2 linked regions of the Struthio camelus genome follow. The protein of the gene in region 2 interacts with the protein of the main gene of each other region in a biochemical or structural test. Links are inferred from orthologs where the notes say so. Each region holds a gene or a part of one and is shown on either strand. Other genes may lie near its edges.

Region 1 (6,982 bases), on a different chromosome or scaffold from region 2:
ATCTAGAACAGCAAAACAATGATTGCAAGGCCAAAATACATTCAGTTCAAACTGCAATGCTGTGTATTTTTAGCTACATGAGACTAGAAGATGATAATGGATCTTTTCTGCTAATGCACCATCATCTTCCTTTTTAGCTACATTAGGAAAGACCTTCTTTTCTTAAATTTTGAGAAAATGAAAATTTTCTACAAATGTTTTAAAGCTTCTCACAGGCAGGTCATCATACTCTTCATGTGCCCTCTTCCTCCCTCAGAGAAAATCTATGTGTTTATACAGTCCAGGTGAAGAACCCTGCAATGTTATTAACAAATCCAAGAGTTGCTTCAATAATAGAGCTCTCTGTTATATGGCACATAATTCTGTGCATATAATTGTAAAGTTTTGGTTGGTCACAAGTTGAAAGGTATTGCATTTCTTTTTCCTGCGTGAAGTGCTTAAATTTACCATCACAGAGGTTTGGATGGGAATTCTGCTAAGGATGATTTTTAGAGCTCTGACATTCAAGGGGTTTTTGGCAACCAAAAATACAAAAAGAAGAAATGTATTAAAACGTTAGATTGTCAGAGATAAATAGGCAAGGCTTTTATTTTTCAGAATTAATTTGGAAGCTTCATATTCCTTTTCCTTTTCAATTTGATTCATTTTCTTCTGTGATCCTCAGCTGATCACTTTATTGGGTGCCATTTGGTCTTACCAATATTTGAAATTCTTAATTGCATTTTCTAGCTTTCTGACATTGTGTTTTTCTTCTTGACATTCACATAGTGTAAATATAGCTGTGTCCATGATGAATTCCATTTAGCAGACAATGCTTGACAGCCCTAGTAAATTCAGAAGGATCTATTCGTTCATCAATATGTGTGTATAATTTCCATTAAGCTCAATAAAATTTGTGTACAGCTGTAATAACTAGACTCTTTTTAACACTTCAGTGTCTTACCAGTTCCCAGGCAGGTTTCATCTGCAGACTGAGATGTCCTCTTTGACTTCTAAAGCTCTGGGGGGGAGAAGGGGGTGAAAGATAAGGAAGGTTTAATTTCCCTATGGGAGTAACTCAGCTGGGAGCGCCTCCTTGAGTGAGTCTTGGCTGGTACATCTGTCCCACTCACTGCTAGGACACTTTCCTAACCTGCATTGTGTGGTGGATCAGTACAGCCCTCGCACATTGCAGGCACTTGCTAGTTGCAGGATAGGAGCGCTCAGTCTTACAGATGTCCAGACCAGACAGCAGGGCTGTCTCAATGCTTGCTTTGAAGCTTTCTTTTATTCTGGAAAGGAAAGGGTAGGAGGAAGAGTAGAAGAGGGAAGCATCTAATAACTTCTTATTGTGCCCTAATACAATTTGACCATGTTTTCATTTCAAGGGCTTATATATTCAACTTGGATTTGTTGAATCATTCAAAGTGATGTTTCAAAAATATCGTTCAGGGAAAAAAAAAAAGTGTATTTTGGTTAGCTTATTTTGTAGGCCTTAAAATGCCTAAAGATCTTCGCAGTGATTTCTGTGTGACAGAACCAGTCAAATTTAGTGATCTGGTAGGCCCCAGCAGTGTTTATATTAAAAATAATTGCATTATTCTTGCACAACTCATTGCTGTTGCTGCATAGTTTAAATATTTTATGTAGTTTTTAAGGGTAGGTCCTATTCTGAGGTGGGGAAAATGCAATAATCTGTACCATTTCTTCCGTCTTAAACCACAGGGAAACTTTCCACTATTACCACTACTGAGATGTTCATCAATCAACCTGCTGAATCTTCCTGTTTTGGATTGCTTGTCTTATCCTTTAAAACTGCTTTTTGAAATGTGGGTGTCTACTTGTGAGCCACTTGAATACATTTTTGAAAGCCCCAATTAAAATATGCTGAAGTGTAAAGTTTGATCAATTTGAATCAAGTCAGATTTTGGTCCAGTGGAGGACTTCACTGAGTAGATGATATACAAGTATAAAAAATCTTGCTTTTGTTGTGCTTATTGGAAGCACCTTAAGGAGAGGGTATTTATTTTGCAAAATGGTCAGCTGAGTAGGTTTTTACATACCTACTCAGAAGTTGTTTGCTCAGGTGAAAATAAAGGCCACTCAATATTGAAAGGGTTACAGGATCTCAAGATGAAAGTGATACGGCTTTTTGCACATCATACCCAGATGTTTTTCTCTTTTCCGTGAATATATTCAGTCAGTTTCTGACAGTGTATCAGCACTGTTGCTTCTGCTGTAGCTAAAGACCAGAAAATGTAGGTCTGCAATTGTAAAAAGTGGTAAGATATGGAGCAGGAGGAGAATGGAAGATGCTAATAAGAAAGAAGTTACAGAGAGAGGTAAGATTGAATTAGTTCAATGGCATTGATTAATATTTGGTTCTTAGCTCATTCCAAAAAACTTACTTACGCTAGTGATTACTCAACATTAAGAAGTATCTATGGGTGTGCAGACTGGGGAGGGCAGGGCACAGGGCTCAGGATGATGCAGGAAGTAGATAGCAAATTCTCTGTGGGAACATATATTCTCTCAAAAAGAGCTAAGTGTGGTAACTTTTAGCATTCATAGTGCACTTTTTTATTCCACATTTGCTACAGACATATTGGCATTACTTCTGAGAAAACATTTAAAATATGGATGTATTAATATTCCATATTGATGTGGAAAGCAAGGGGAACGATGGAGAAGGGAGTATTATGGTAGTTGCGTAAGATTACTGAGACAGGTTTTCCCAGAACTGGCACATAAGCTTTGTCCTGTGCTGTGCTCAAACCTCTAGGCCACAGCTCTCCTGGGATATCACATATTATGTATGAATGAGTTTTCAAAGTGACCTAAAAGATAGATGCTGCCACTGAAAAGCAGTAGGACAGAGGATCTTAATATCCCATGGCCTTTCTGAAAATCTCATCTTGCAAGCAGTCTTAACCACTTCATCATACTCACTAAATAGCAGCAGATACTGGTTAACAGCATGTGTATTAGTTCTTGAAAAAAATTTTATCACTGATTTTGGGCACCTCTAAAGAAGTTATCTCTCTCCATTTCTCAGTCTTCTCTATATAGCATCTGAGAAATAATTGTTTTCATTTTTCTTTGCCTCACTGATGGTAGAATAAATAATCCAGGAATAACTCCCCACCCCCATTATTCTACCATATCTGGTGAGCAATAACTTTCAGTTCCGTCTGTTTAAGGGTGATGGAGGGAGGGATGGAAAGGGATGGAAAAGAGAAGGCAGATTCTTGAAACCCCTGAACTGTAAGGCTAGAATTCGACCTCAGTCATTGCTTTTAGGCAAAACCCGTAGCGCTGCTTCAATGCAGCTTTCTGTCTGGCTCGCTCTCTGTGTGCGAATTCACTACCGGAGGGAAGCGTCTGCATGAGCGGCTCCTGCAGCCCCAGCTCTCCACAGGCGGGATGGTGCTCAGCCCCCCGGGACTAGGACCGCTCGGAAGACTTGCCTGCTGGGCGCCTGGCTGGCATCCCGGGAGGCCGGAGCTGCGAGCCTGAACCACCTCCGCCCGTGGGGCGCCCACGGCGGCGGAAGCCCGGCGGCGGCCGCCGCTCCTGCGCCCGGGGGCGGGCAGCGGCGCCCCGCGGCGCGGCGCGACGCGCCTCCGCGCACAACTTCAGCACCGCGGACAGCGGCCTCCCCGCGGCCCCTCTCGGCGGCCCTGCGCGGCCCGGGCCCACGCCGAGGTGCCCCGGCTCCGGCTCTGAACCAGGCCCGGCAGGACGAGGAGGGTCCTGGCGGCCGGAGGGGCGCAGAGGAAGAGGGAGGAGCTGGAGGAAGGGGAGGGAGCGCTAAAGAGAGGATTCTCCCTTCTGCTTTTTCTTTCTTTATTCCCCCCCCCCCCCCCGGTGTTTTGGGGAGGTTGCTGCTGCTTCTGCTGGTGGCAGCGTTTCCTCCTGCTGGAAAATGATGAATGCATGAGGAGAGAGGCTCTGAGCCTGCTTCTCTGCTACGGGAGTGTCTTTCCCTCCCTCTCTCTCCCTCTCCCGGTTCCTGTGTGTGTGTTTGGCTCCCTAGCTGTGTGTGCGTGTACACTGTGTATATATATCTGAGCTGGGAGGTTATTGCAAGCTTCTCTCAGCAGCGCTGCTCTGTGCAGGAAGAAGGGCTCAGCTGCAGTGGTAGCATTAACAGCAGCATTAGCAGCACCAACAGCTTTTTCTTCCTTTCTCCCTTCCCTTCATCCCTATCTCCCTTTCCCTCTCCCCCACCACCCCTCCCCTTTTTGGGGGTTGCTTTTTTGATTTTTATTTTTCTCTCCTCCTACAAACCTTGTTATCTGATACTTTGTGGCTTTTTATTTTCCCCCTGAGAAGGAGGAACACACACACACACACACACACACACACACATACACAAACACACACACACACACACACACACACACACACACACACACACTCACATAGAGCAATAAGGGAAAGAAAAGTATTGGGACTTATCCTGCTGCTGCAAACCAAGAGATAGCAGACGAAGAGGGGGGTTGGCTTCTACCCCAAGGTAAAGCCCAGCCCCCTTTACCTCCTCGCCACCTCCTCCAAGAAAGAGGAGAGAGAGAGAAGGGGGCAAAGTGGAGAAAAGCAGGTCTTCAGCAGCTGGCATTTGGAGTACAGGGAGCCAGGAAGTGAAGGATGGTTGTGGTTACCCGAGCTGGCTGCAGGGCAGCTCTCTTCCTCTGGATTTTCAGCAGCATTAGCTGCAGAGCCAGGACTGCTCTCCCTGCATCTCGTAAGTACCTTTTTCAGAGAACCATGCACATTTTCAGCTCTGCAATAAACCAGAAGGGGCTTCCCACAACTCTGGGAGGGTGTTTATTTTTTCTCTGATGGTGAATCTTGTGTTTGATTTTCTGTGTATTTGCCTGTGCATGTGTGCACTGAGGTTTGATACTGTTTGCAATGCTCTCATCAGATCTTCCTTATGCTGATAATTTTAGTGAGGCTGGTGGTAGCTGATGCTGAAAGTTGAAAGACTTGCTCCGTGATACAGACTTGGTTCTGCAGTGGAGTCAGAGGGGGAAAGGAATCGGAAGAAAGACGTTTAAAGTTTGGGGGTGGATTTTTGGTTGGTTGGTTTTTGGTTTTTTTCCCCTTGTTCAGAAGGTGTGCAATTTGTATTTGGAAGTACTTCACTTCTGCGTTTGTGGGAAGGAAAAGAGGAGACATGGGCAGTTTCCATAACTAGTGTTTTATAAAGGAGAATTAGAAAGTAAAGGTTTGCAGCAAGAGAAAATTTTATCTTCTGTGAAGAGGAAGGAGTGACAGTGACTTGATGAGAAGGAACTGAACCAGGACAGCTTTTCTTGAGAGGGAAGTTTTGCTTCCCATAATAAATGAGCAAAGGTATTTTGGAACTGACCAGAAATTGCCCTCCTAGGGAGGCAGAAGTGGTAGAGAAATAATGAAGCATCTGATGAAATGCTAAACTTTAGACTGGAAGAGTGCAGAGCACCTATACAGGACCCAGTTCTGCTGTCAGGGTAAAAATGACAGCATACTCATTGATTTCAACGGGTTTTAGGTCAAACCTTTAATGTTGCAATGAACCGTAGTTTCCAGTAAAACATTTGCAGGTAGATGTTAATGTTAAGTGTTTAGTTGTTTCTCTGCAGCCGATGTAAAGCGTTTGCCATTTGCAAACTATTTTTGAAATGCATACTGAAAGGAAGCCTACCATTTTTATAGAATCATCAAAAATAGACGCTACTATTGACTTCCTCTGCTGTTTATAGAGGAAGAAGTATTCCAGAAATGTTACAGATAGATGCGTTGGAGTTGTGTGTGTGTATCTGTATGTGGGCTGGTTCTACTGATCAAGCTGGGGATCATCTTAGAATGTAATGTGTATACTGCATAGAGATGTATGTGGATCATTGTTTTTATTTATTTATTTTCAGGGGCAGAGGGAATGAACAGTGCAACGATTAGGGCACTGGAGCATTTCTGTACTTTTCTTACTGGGTTTCTATCTGATATCATCTGATACCTTTTGAAAAATAAAGCAATGTTATTGCTTCAGGATATGCCTACACTTGCTTAGATATTTATTTGTATGACAACAGAAGATTTACAGCAGTGCTTGTGTTATATCGAAGTCTCAGAGGTTATAGGATATAGGTTCAGGTTGATTTTTTTTTCCTCCTTTAATTTAGGAACAATACCAGTCCTAGGTTTACTATTTGGTCTTGACTGGTCATCTAATTTTTCTTCTGAGTGTTATATCTCCATTATCATCCCTAGGGTACTGTGCATAACGGTAAAAGACAAGAAGAAGATTTATGCCCTAGGTTATCAAAAATCTGTTCTTGGAAAATAACATTCCCTGTATTCTTTTTTTATAACAGGATTTAGAGCTTTTTTGTCAATCGGTCGCTAATGGCTGTAGTTTAACTTGAAAATGACCCACCATAGCTTATCTCATTACCCAATAAACAAATGTTTAAGTTTTGAAAGAAGTTAGTTGAGAAGCTAGAGGCAGTAATAATATGATTATAACCAGAAACTCTTTGAAGAAAAGGATATATATAATCTTAATTCAAATTTACTCATATACATTTCCATCTTACAGATTTTTTCCAGCTATTTGAAGATTTCTTCATATAAATTCACCTCCCTAGGGCATATACGCTACACTCCTTATGTATTTACATTTCTGATTCACTTCTGAAAGTGAAAAGCAGATAGATTTGTTTATTGGAAACAGACACATAGCTGCAAGTACCTGTCAATCAGTTGCAAAAAGAGCACACACATTACAGTTTATGAAAAATGTTTAGAATTTTTTTCTAAAAGACGTGTCCGTACTGTTGAAATGGTACCACAGTAGGAACTCATGTGTTATGTCACGGTGTTTTGGTGCACCACTTAACTGGTTATTCTGTTGCACGCTTTAGTATACAAACTGATTACTGTGCTCTGTTTTCTTGTATTGTTTGTCATATGTGCAACTGATTGTAAATTCTTTTGATGATTTTTTTCCCTTTAT
Region 2 (7,991 bases):
GTGGCAGTGGAAGTTCACCTTTCATTAAACAATGGAGAACTCACATTGCAGAGGAGCTTGAAAAGCTCCAGTAAGGAGAAAATGCAGTTAGAGAGAGATTTTTCTAGACACACATACCATTTACCTGTAAGATACACATTCACGGGAAAGGAGGCCTTCTTATTTCTGGTGTGGAACTGCTTGTTCAATGCATTACCTTTGAGTTCAGCTGTTGCAGACTGCTCTGCCATACATTCGCTTTCCAAGCTGACTTAATTACATACTTCTGTGAGGAGTTATCCAGACTTATTCAGAGTTGGTTGATGGCTTTTTAGGATCTTCCTGATACAGACATTTTTGACAAGGACTGAAAATGTATATGTCGTGATCCAACTATCACCTCTTTTCATTGCAACTTAAACACATTTCTGTTGCCCAAATTATGAATTGTCAGGTCATAGAATTTGCACTCATAAACAATATGGTAAAGTTTGTCAGAAATGTGGTAGGCCTCTAAAATTGTCTTATGAATCACTAACACTAATCACTCATCTTTAGTGTCAATATCATTCTGAAACCTCATAATGGGAGTGGATCAAATACACAGGTTACAGATCAAAGTACCAGGAGCACTACTATGCTTAGCATCTCGGTTATCAAATTTGGTGCTTCCTACAGTTTTTGGATTACAGACTACTGTCAGCTCCTAGAATTTCATGTTAATCACCATGTACCTTTTACAGCATGCTTTTAAATGAAAACACTATAAAGGCTGATCAAATGTTACTCATAATTATGGTTCTATAAACAACCTTTGAACAACTTATTGTTGCTTTGTGGCTCACCAGTAGTGAGCCATATAGGCTCACAGACATACAGGCACACCGTAAGAAGGCCACAGCCAGAAAAAATTTGGAAACCCCATAAAGTTTTATGAAATAGATTTTCTAGTGCCCAAACCCACACTTAGCTATTTCTTACGACTTTAACATGAAATTTTGAATTAAACAATAGTGGTTTGCCTAAAAATATAACACTGTAAACTGGCAGCTCAGAATCTGACTGACAAACAGCGCAAATGCCTGCAGCGGGTTGGGGAAGGCAATCAGGGATGATAAAGCATATCTTTTCTTTCAATAGTCAGTGTTCTCGTTCTTCTGTGTTCCCTATGAAGAAGTGAGTACATCCCTCTCCCAGTCCTGCAATGGCTGATGCGCTGAACTGTTTTCATCATCCTTTTAAGCAAATCATTCCAGGTCTCAAGCGTAAAGTTTTTTTCTGCTTGTATTTCAAATAGAATTTTGTTATATACTTTTTTTATGAGATTTCAGATGTGTGTATTTCAGAATTCAACCTTAAGCTTTTAAATCAAACCCATGTCTCTTGTGGCTCTTGAAATCTATCAAGGAGATATATTGGATATTCGGGTGAAGATTATTAACACCTGCCTGTGAAAGGGCAAGGGAATGACCACTTTCAAACTTGGGGATGAAATTCATGATCACAAACATACCTGCATGTATATTGCCTGGATGATCATACTTATTGTTGGGAGTTTGCTGCTGACAAAGTTGACAAACTGACACTCTTATTTTCGTGAGCCCAATCAATTTGAATCTAAGATTAGCATAGATACAGATTATCGCATAGTTCTCATCAATCGTAGTAACTTCTGACTTAGTGATACCCTTACTGATTCTGCTATTTTTGTAGCAACTTTTGATAATACAGATCTGCATATAAATCCTAGATCCTGCTTCAGACAAATTCTTTCTTTTCACCCAAGTCAAAAGTTAGCACCCGCTTTGGTCTTCCTCCTGTTAAACGAGGAGATCTGATATATTTGCAGCCTTTGATACTTTTGTCTTGCTTCTTGCAAGCCCAAGCAATGAATGCCACAGCCACTCTAATAAGAGTGTCTTAATTTTGTTCCGCAAAGAAACAATTAGGCCATTAGGTAAAAAAGAAGCCATCATCCTCCTTCCTCAAAGGTAGTAGGACCCTTCAAGCAGGCTAGACTCTAGGGAACGAATCGCCTATCATAGGGAAAGTCCATTTGTATTAAGTGTGCTCCCAGAAACTACCTTCCCAGGACGATGACTCTGACTCTCTCTGCGCTGAGACCTTGTTCCATTAGGAAACCATGTTTACGTGTTCCGCCATCTCACGATGGAGCCAGCTGCCCTCCAAGGTTCTTAAAGGGTTTGTTCTGTTATAACAATTTGCCCTGAAGCTCCCCACATAAGCACTATGCTTAGTACTCTTAGCGTTTGGCTTTGTCTGTCAAACGCAGGTGACGTAGCCTCGCGTACCTCTTGGTGCTCGGCATTCAGAAGGTGAGACCTCTGTGAAGTGGTGCTGCTAGAACAGAAAAAGCATCTGCCTCAGCTGTGGAATGGATCTGCTATTTCAATATGCATTTTTCTTCTTTGAGTGTTCTTGTATCAATTATTCTTGCCAGCTTCTAATAATGGCCCTGCAGATAATCAGATGACAATTTCTGTTCAAAATATAAATGAATGCTCATCCATATTCTGCAACTTCTTGAGTTTAACACTGTGAGGGTACTACTACATGGTTGTGCTGGCTTCAGAAAAGTGAAAGACAGTTGCTTACATGTTTAGCAGTGTGAAATTCAGGGAGTAGACAATCTAACTATTGGCTTTCTGTTTGCATTCTAAATAGCAGATGATGTTTAATATTTTTTATAAAGGTTTGTATGGCTTAGAGCATAGTCTCACGGGAATGTCTCTCACCGCATAGGCTACCACCGTGCAGGAGATACGTGCTATTATTTCCACAGATTCTCTTGATTTGTCTTTTGAATTTGTCTGGAGAAAGGAAGGAGGTGTTCTTGCCAAAGTGTCCTTTGTTCTGCATTTTAAAGCTAATCTTTAAAGCATCTCATCGGATAATTTTGCTTTGACAGGCTTTCTCCTGTGCAGGGGAAACAAATGCATAATTTCCCTTTGTGTTAATGAGTTTTAAGAAGTTGCATGTGTGCTAAAGTACTTCAGCAAAAATAAATATTTCCATAAACTGCAAAACACTTCCTGGATAATTCCTTCAAGAGCTTTGCTTTTTTCTGCAAGCCATCTAATTCAAACATTGGAAAAGCACAGCTAAACAACTTAGTCTATCTTTTGTACAGAATTTCATTTAATGGGTCAAAAGTAACAGAACAGAATGTATCAAGTAAGTTATGTTTACAATTAACTGAATGTCTAGTCATTCTTTTTAAAGGGTTATTCAGAGAAGATTAAAAAAAAAAGCCACGACATATCTGCCCAAAGGAGAAAAAGTACATCTAGGGACACTCTTTAAAAAGTTCTTTTAATTCACTACTTTGAGGACTAGTAAGAAGGTGGCTGTTTTCCTAATAACGAAGGGGAAACAAATTATGCTACAGAAAATATCTACATCCTCCTGAAACTAATAGACTGGTAGGAAAAAAAAAAAACACACTCCACCTGGACAAAGCTCTAGAAACGTTCTGCGTAACTGTTCTTTATTTCTACAACCAAGTCCGTGAAAACTAAAAAGGACGCCTGTCCCTACCGAACACGCGTGCAGCTGAAACGCCTCACCTTTTCCATAAATAACAGCATTAACGACCCACGGCAAGTGGGGAAACGCTCCTCTCTTCCCGCACCTGCCTACACATGAGGCGCCCGCCAGCTCCAGGCCCTTGCCTTCCCTCCGGCGGCTGCGCGCAGAGCGGTGCGTGAGGCGCCAGCGACGCAGCGACGGGGCCAACGGCTGCGCGCGCGGCACCACCCGCCACCGGCGCCGCGCGCGCAGTCGTTGGCTCGCTGCGAGCTGGAGGAAGAGGCGGCGGCGGCGATACCCCCTCCCCCCACACTGACGACGGGGGAGGGGGCGGCTTAAAAGATAAGAAAGGTTAATACCTGAACCCCGCCCGCCCACTCGCCTCCTCTCCTCTCCTCTCCTCTGCCCGCCGCCGCCGCCGCTCGCCCCGCCTCCGACGGGCTGCTCACTCCCCTCCCCCCACCCCCGCACCGCACCAGCGGGCACTGACAACCACCCGCCGCGCCGCGCCGCGCCGCGCCGCCCTCCCCGCGGTATGATGTCATCGGAGCCCGCGCCTGCGCACATCGGGCCGCCCCCAACGGCCAGTAGGCGTGGCCCCGCGCACGACTCTGGCGGGGCTGGCGTGGGGGTGGGGAGAAAAGCGAGCGGAAACGAGCGCAGCCCCCCGCGTGCGTGCATGCGTGCGTGCCGCGCCTGCTCGGCCTGCCTGTGGAGGGTGCGCGCGCGCCGCGGCGGCGGCTTTGCGTGACGGTGTTTGGGAGCGCGCGCGCGCCCGCCCGCCCGCCCTCCAGTAAAGCAAGCGCCTATCGCGGCCGCCGCCGCTGCTGCTGCTTCTGCGCCTCGCGCCTCGGAGCGTAATCAACCGCCGCGCCGGCAACTCCCCGCCCCTCCCCCTCCCACTATTATCCTTCTCTCTCCCTCCCTCCCTCCCTCGATCCCTCCGGGCGCGCGCGCGCGCCCCCCCCCCCCGCCCGCCCGGCCGGGAGCGCGCGGCCGCCCGCCCGGCGAGGGAGCGAGACGGCGCTGCCGCCTGCTGCCGGCCCCTCTTCCCTCCTCGCCGTGTGGTGCCGGTCCCCTCCATGGACCTCGCGCCGCCCCGCTAGCCAGAGCTGCCCGCTCGCCCGCCCGCCGCCGCTGGGGAGTAGCCGGCTGAGAGGGGGAGGGAGGGAGGGGGCGGGAGGGGGGTGGGGGGAGGACGAGGAGGAGGAGGAAGGTGGGGTCGCGGAGTGTGTGACACGCGCGGGGAGCGGCGGCGGCCGCGGCCCGCAGGAGGAGGCGCCGGGAGTCCCGGCGCGGCCGTGGGAGCCGCCGGGCGGGCGGCGGCGGCGCCCGAGGAAGGTGGCGGCGGCGGTGGGAGCCGTTGTAGCGGTTGGGATTTACCGTGGTGGTGGCGGTTGGCGCTGAGCGGCAGAGGAGCGCGCCGCGCGGCGGGGATCGTGCCCGCGGCCCGCCCGCCCGCCCTCCCCCCTTCGCCGGCGCCGCCGCCGCCTCTCGGGCTGATCCCCCCCCCGCCCGGACCATGGCCGACGACGACGTGCTGTTCGAGGACGTGTACGAGCTCTGCGAGGTGATCGGCAAGTGAGTCCCGCGGGCAGTGGGAGACGGGCAGGGCGTGCGTGTGCGCGACCGAGCAGAGCGGGGGAGGAGGCGGCGGGGGCCGCGGTAGCGCCGTGCCCGGCCCCTCCCGCGGGGCGCGGAGGGAGAGGGATGCTCTGCTCGGCACCCACCTGAGTCGCCGCCAGTGAGTCCGTGCGTGCGGTGTGGGGTCCGCGGCCCCCCTTGTGCTCGTGGCGGTGACATGACAAGTGCCTTCTCCGCGCTGCCCACCTTCTTTATTGCGCGGGAGGCGGAAGGGGGAGAAGTGACCCGATGTTTCCTCAGCCACCATGATTAACCGCCTAACCATCACTCAGCCTGGCTGCAGCAACCACTTCCCACCCCTTTTCTTCTCCTCCCCCCTATATCCCGTTCCTGGCACACCCATCAACGATTGCCTATTGGGGAAGGGAAAGGAAAGGTATCTCTCTCTGTGGATCCACCTATCCACTGGGCGTCTGCGTATTTGTACGCCAGGTGTTGGGTTTTTTTCTCTTTCCTTTACTGCATGATAACCGGCTTGTTAGTGGCGGTACTAGTCACACTCAGGTAGTGCTCAGTTGCCTTCCACCCTCATCCGTGTGGAAATAAAGATGTATCGGGCAGTAAGAGAACTTGGCCTTTTGAGTCTTATTATGCAACCGCTATTAAACCAATGTTCAAGGCTTGTGTCAAACCTAGCAGTTGAGGTAGCTGCTAGAATTGCCCAGCTGCTCGTTTTGGGTCACTGCTTTGATTGGTGGATGAAAATGACAGTCCGAGTGTCAGTCTTTGTATAATCACGCCAAGGAAATGAAGAGAATCCCAAAAATCAGGGGACAATCAAGAATTAAAGCTAATTCCCCCCCCTCCTCCATTGGTTGTGACTCTCCAGTTTTGAAATCCATTCTATGTTTCTTTGTCATCTTTTGTATGTCTTCTGTAGTTGTGCTTGTGTTGCGAAATGGGCATGAGAGGTGTACCAATATTGTGACTTCCTAATTTTCTGTATGTTTCTGATTCAAAAGCAGAGATTGCTGTGGAAGCCCTAATAGTGATTCTGTTTGGAGTGTCTGCAGTTTTTTCTTCGTGACAATGAATTTTATAAGAATAATTGGTTTGAATTTAAACCAATAATTTTTTCTTCCTACATTTTCCTGTCCACTCTCCACCAATATGCTTTTCAATTGCTATATCAAGAGCTGCCTACTTGTAAAGTTAGGGCTAAAAAAATAATCTGAAATTAATCTTTCCACAGAATTATACTAAAATGCTGGTCTTGGACTTAGCAGGTTACTTCATTGTCTGCAAAAGTTTCAGCACGTAGTTCTGTCATTTAACAGGTTATTAGCTTTCTGTTAACATAACCAACTTTCCTAGAGATTGAGCTGCAACGGCCTTGTTTACTGGCATAAACTGAAGTGATTGCTCTAACTTAATGCTAGTGGTTTGGTGAAGAGCTTCTGTAGGAGAGAAACAAAACCCTGTTATTAAACGTGTTTTGAAGATTATTTTTGGCACATTTATTTCACAAGTGGTTTTATGCTAACCACTGTAGTTCGCATACCTGATTTTATTCATATCTGACTACTGTTAGGAAGAAGGTGTAGTGGTTATGTTTAATGTGACTGCACATCCTTTTAGAGAATGGATCATTCACAGGGATCCAAACGTCTGCACGTTTCAAAGGGCTTTTTGTTTTGTGATCAGAGAATTTTGAAGAGAGAGCGCAAAAGCTGTGAGTTAGATATTAGCTATAGAAGTTTCACATGACGTTTTTGTAGTACAGGTCGCATTGGGATGTAAATCAATCTAACAAATGTTAAATCAGAGGAGTATAATGATGCCAAGCGCACTGTGGCAAAAACAGAGTGGGTCACTGAAAACAGCAGCAGTGGTGATGTGAAGGATTATATAGCTCGTTGTTAGTGCTGATGATCTTCTGCACAGATGTTATGTGAGTCCTCTAAAAACATTTGAAAGAAATACATAGTATCATATACAGTTGTTTAAGCAATATTCTTGTTTCTGTGCAGCACTATGAAGGATGCCTTCCTAGGGACCACGGATGCAATGTTTTTAGTGTCTTTTACGTAGCGCTTTGCTCATCTTCAAGCAACTTGAGGAAGACTGCTGTAAATCTGCTTTGAATTGCTACATATGCATCTTACTAAACATCTTTCAGTGAAACATCAACTAAATGTCTCCATGTTTCTGTGATTTATTATTGATTGATACAGTAATTCAGTTCTTGCAGATAACATATCTGGCCCTGATTTGCGTTTCAGATGCATGAAATATTTAAATGTGTAATTTATCTTTCCTAAATATGTAGTTACCGCTGTCATTTTAAATAGATAGAAAGATATTTTCACAAAGGGTGTGGGAAAGAGATTTTAGACTAAACATTCCATCATTTTGTAGTCAAACTTGTAAGAGAAATCTCTCAGTTCTTGTTCTGTTGACTTTAAAAAATAAGTAATCTCTGGGAGATAGTATCAGCTGGGAAACTCTGTGGTCCAGTTTGCTGAGGCTTATTTTAAACTTTAGATTAACAGTTTTAAATACAATAAACTGATCCAAGTGATGGACTTATTTTATATAAACACAATGACAATAACTTCTGGTGTGCTGGAGTGTATAACAATTACAATGTAGTAGTATATGAATGAATTTACTGAAATGACAGAAGGATAAACTGTTTATTACATGGCATTTCACATGTTTAAGTTCTCTATGCATGCCTTTTTCATTTTGAATGGGTGAAGGAGAAAAGGGCCAGGAGGAACAGAGGGAAATTTTAGTTCATGTTTCCTCTAGAAGAACTTAAAGGCAATTTTCTTTTGCCTATATTGGCAGTATAACTTTCAATTTCTGGAAGCTAT

The links.
Region 1: the proteins of CASK (region 2) and CNTNAP2 form a complex in vitro, tested with the Homo sapiens proteins (2 studies listed by BioGRID and IntAct, with this or other methods). The link is inferred for Struthio camelus from reciprocal best matches to the Homo sapiens genes CASK and CNTNAP2.

The regions. Positions count from the first base shown.
Region 1 is NC_090943.1:61,393,927-61,400,908, forward strand, and holds the start of CNTNAP2 (contactin-associated protein-like 2), read left to right. Parts: upstream 1-3,881; 5' UTR 3,882-4,629; coding exon 4,630-4,726; intron 4,727-6,982. UniProt on the Homo sapiens protein: Required for gap junction formation. Required, with CNTNAP1, for radial and longitudinal organization of myelinated axons.
Region 2 is NC_090942.1:127,538,596-127,546,586, forward strand, and holds the start of CASK (peripheral plasma membrane protein CASK), read left to right. Parts: upstream 1-4,985; 5' UTR 4,986-5,050; coding exon 5,051-5,109; intron 5,110-7,991. UniProt on the Homo sapiens protein: Multidomain scaffolding Mg(2+)-independent protein kinase that catalyzes the phosphotransfer from ATP to proteins such as NRXN1, and plays a role in synaptic transmembrane protein anchoring and ion channel trafficking.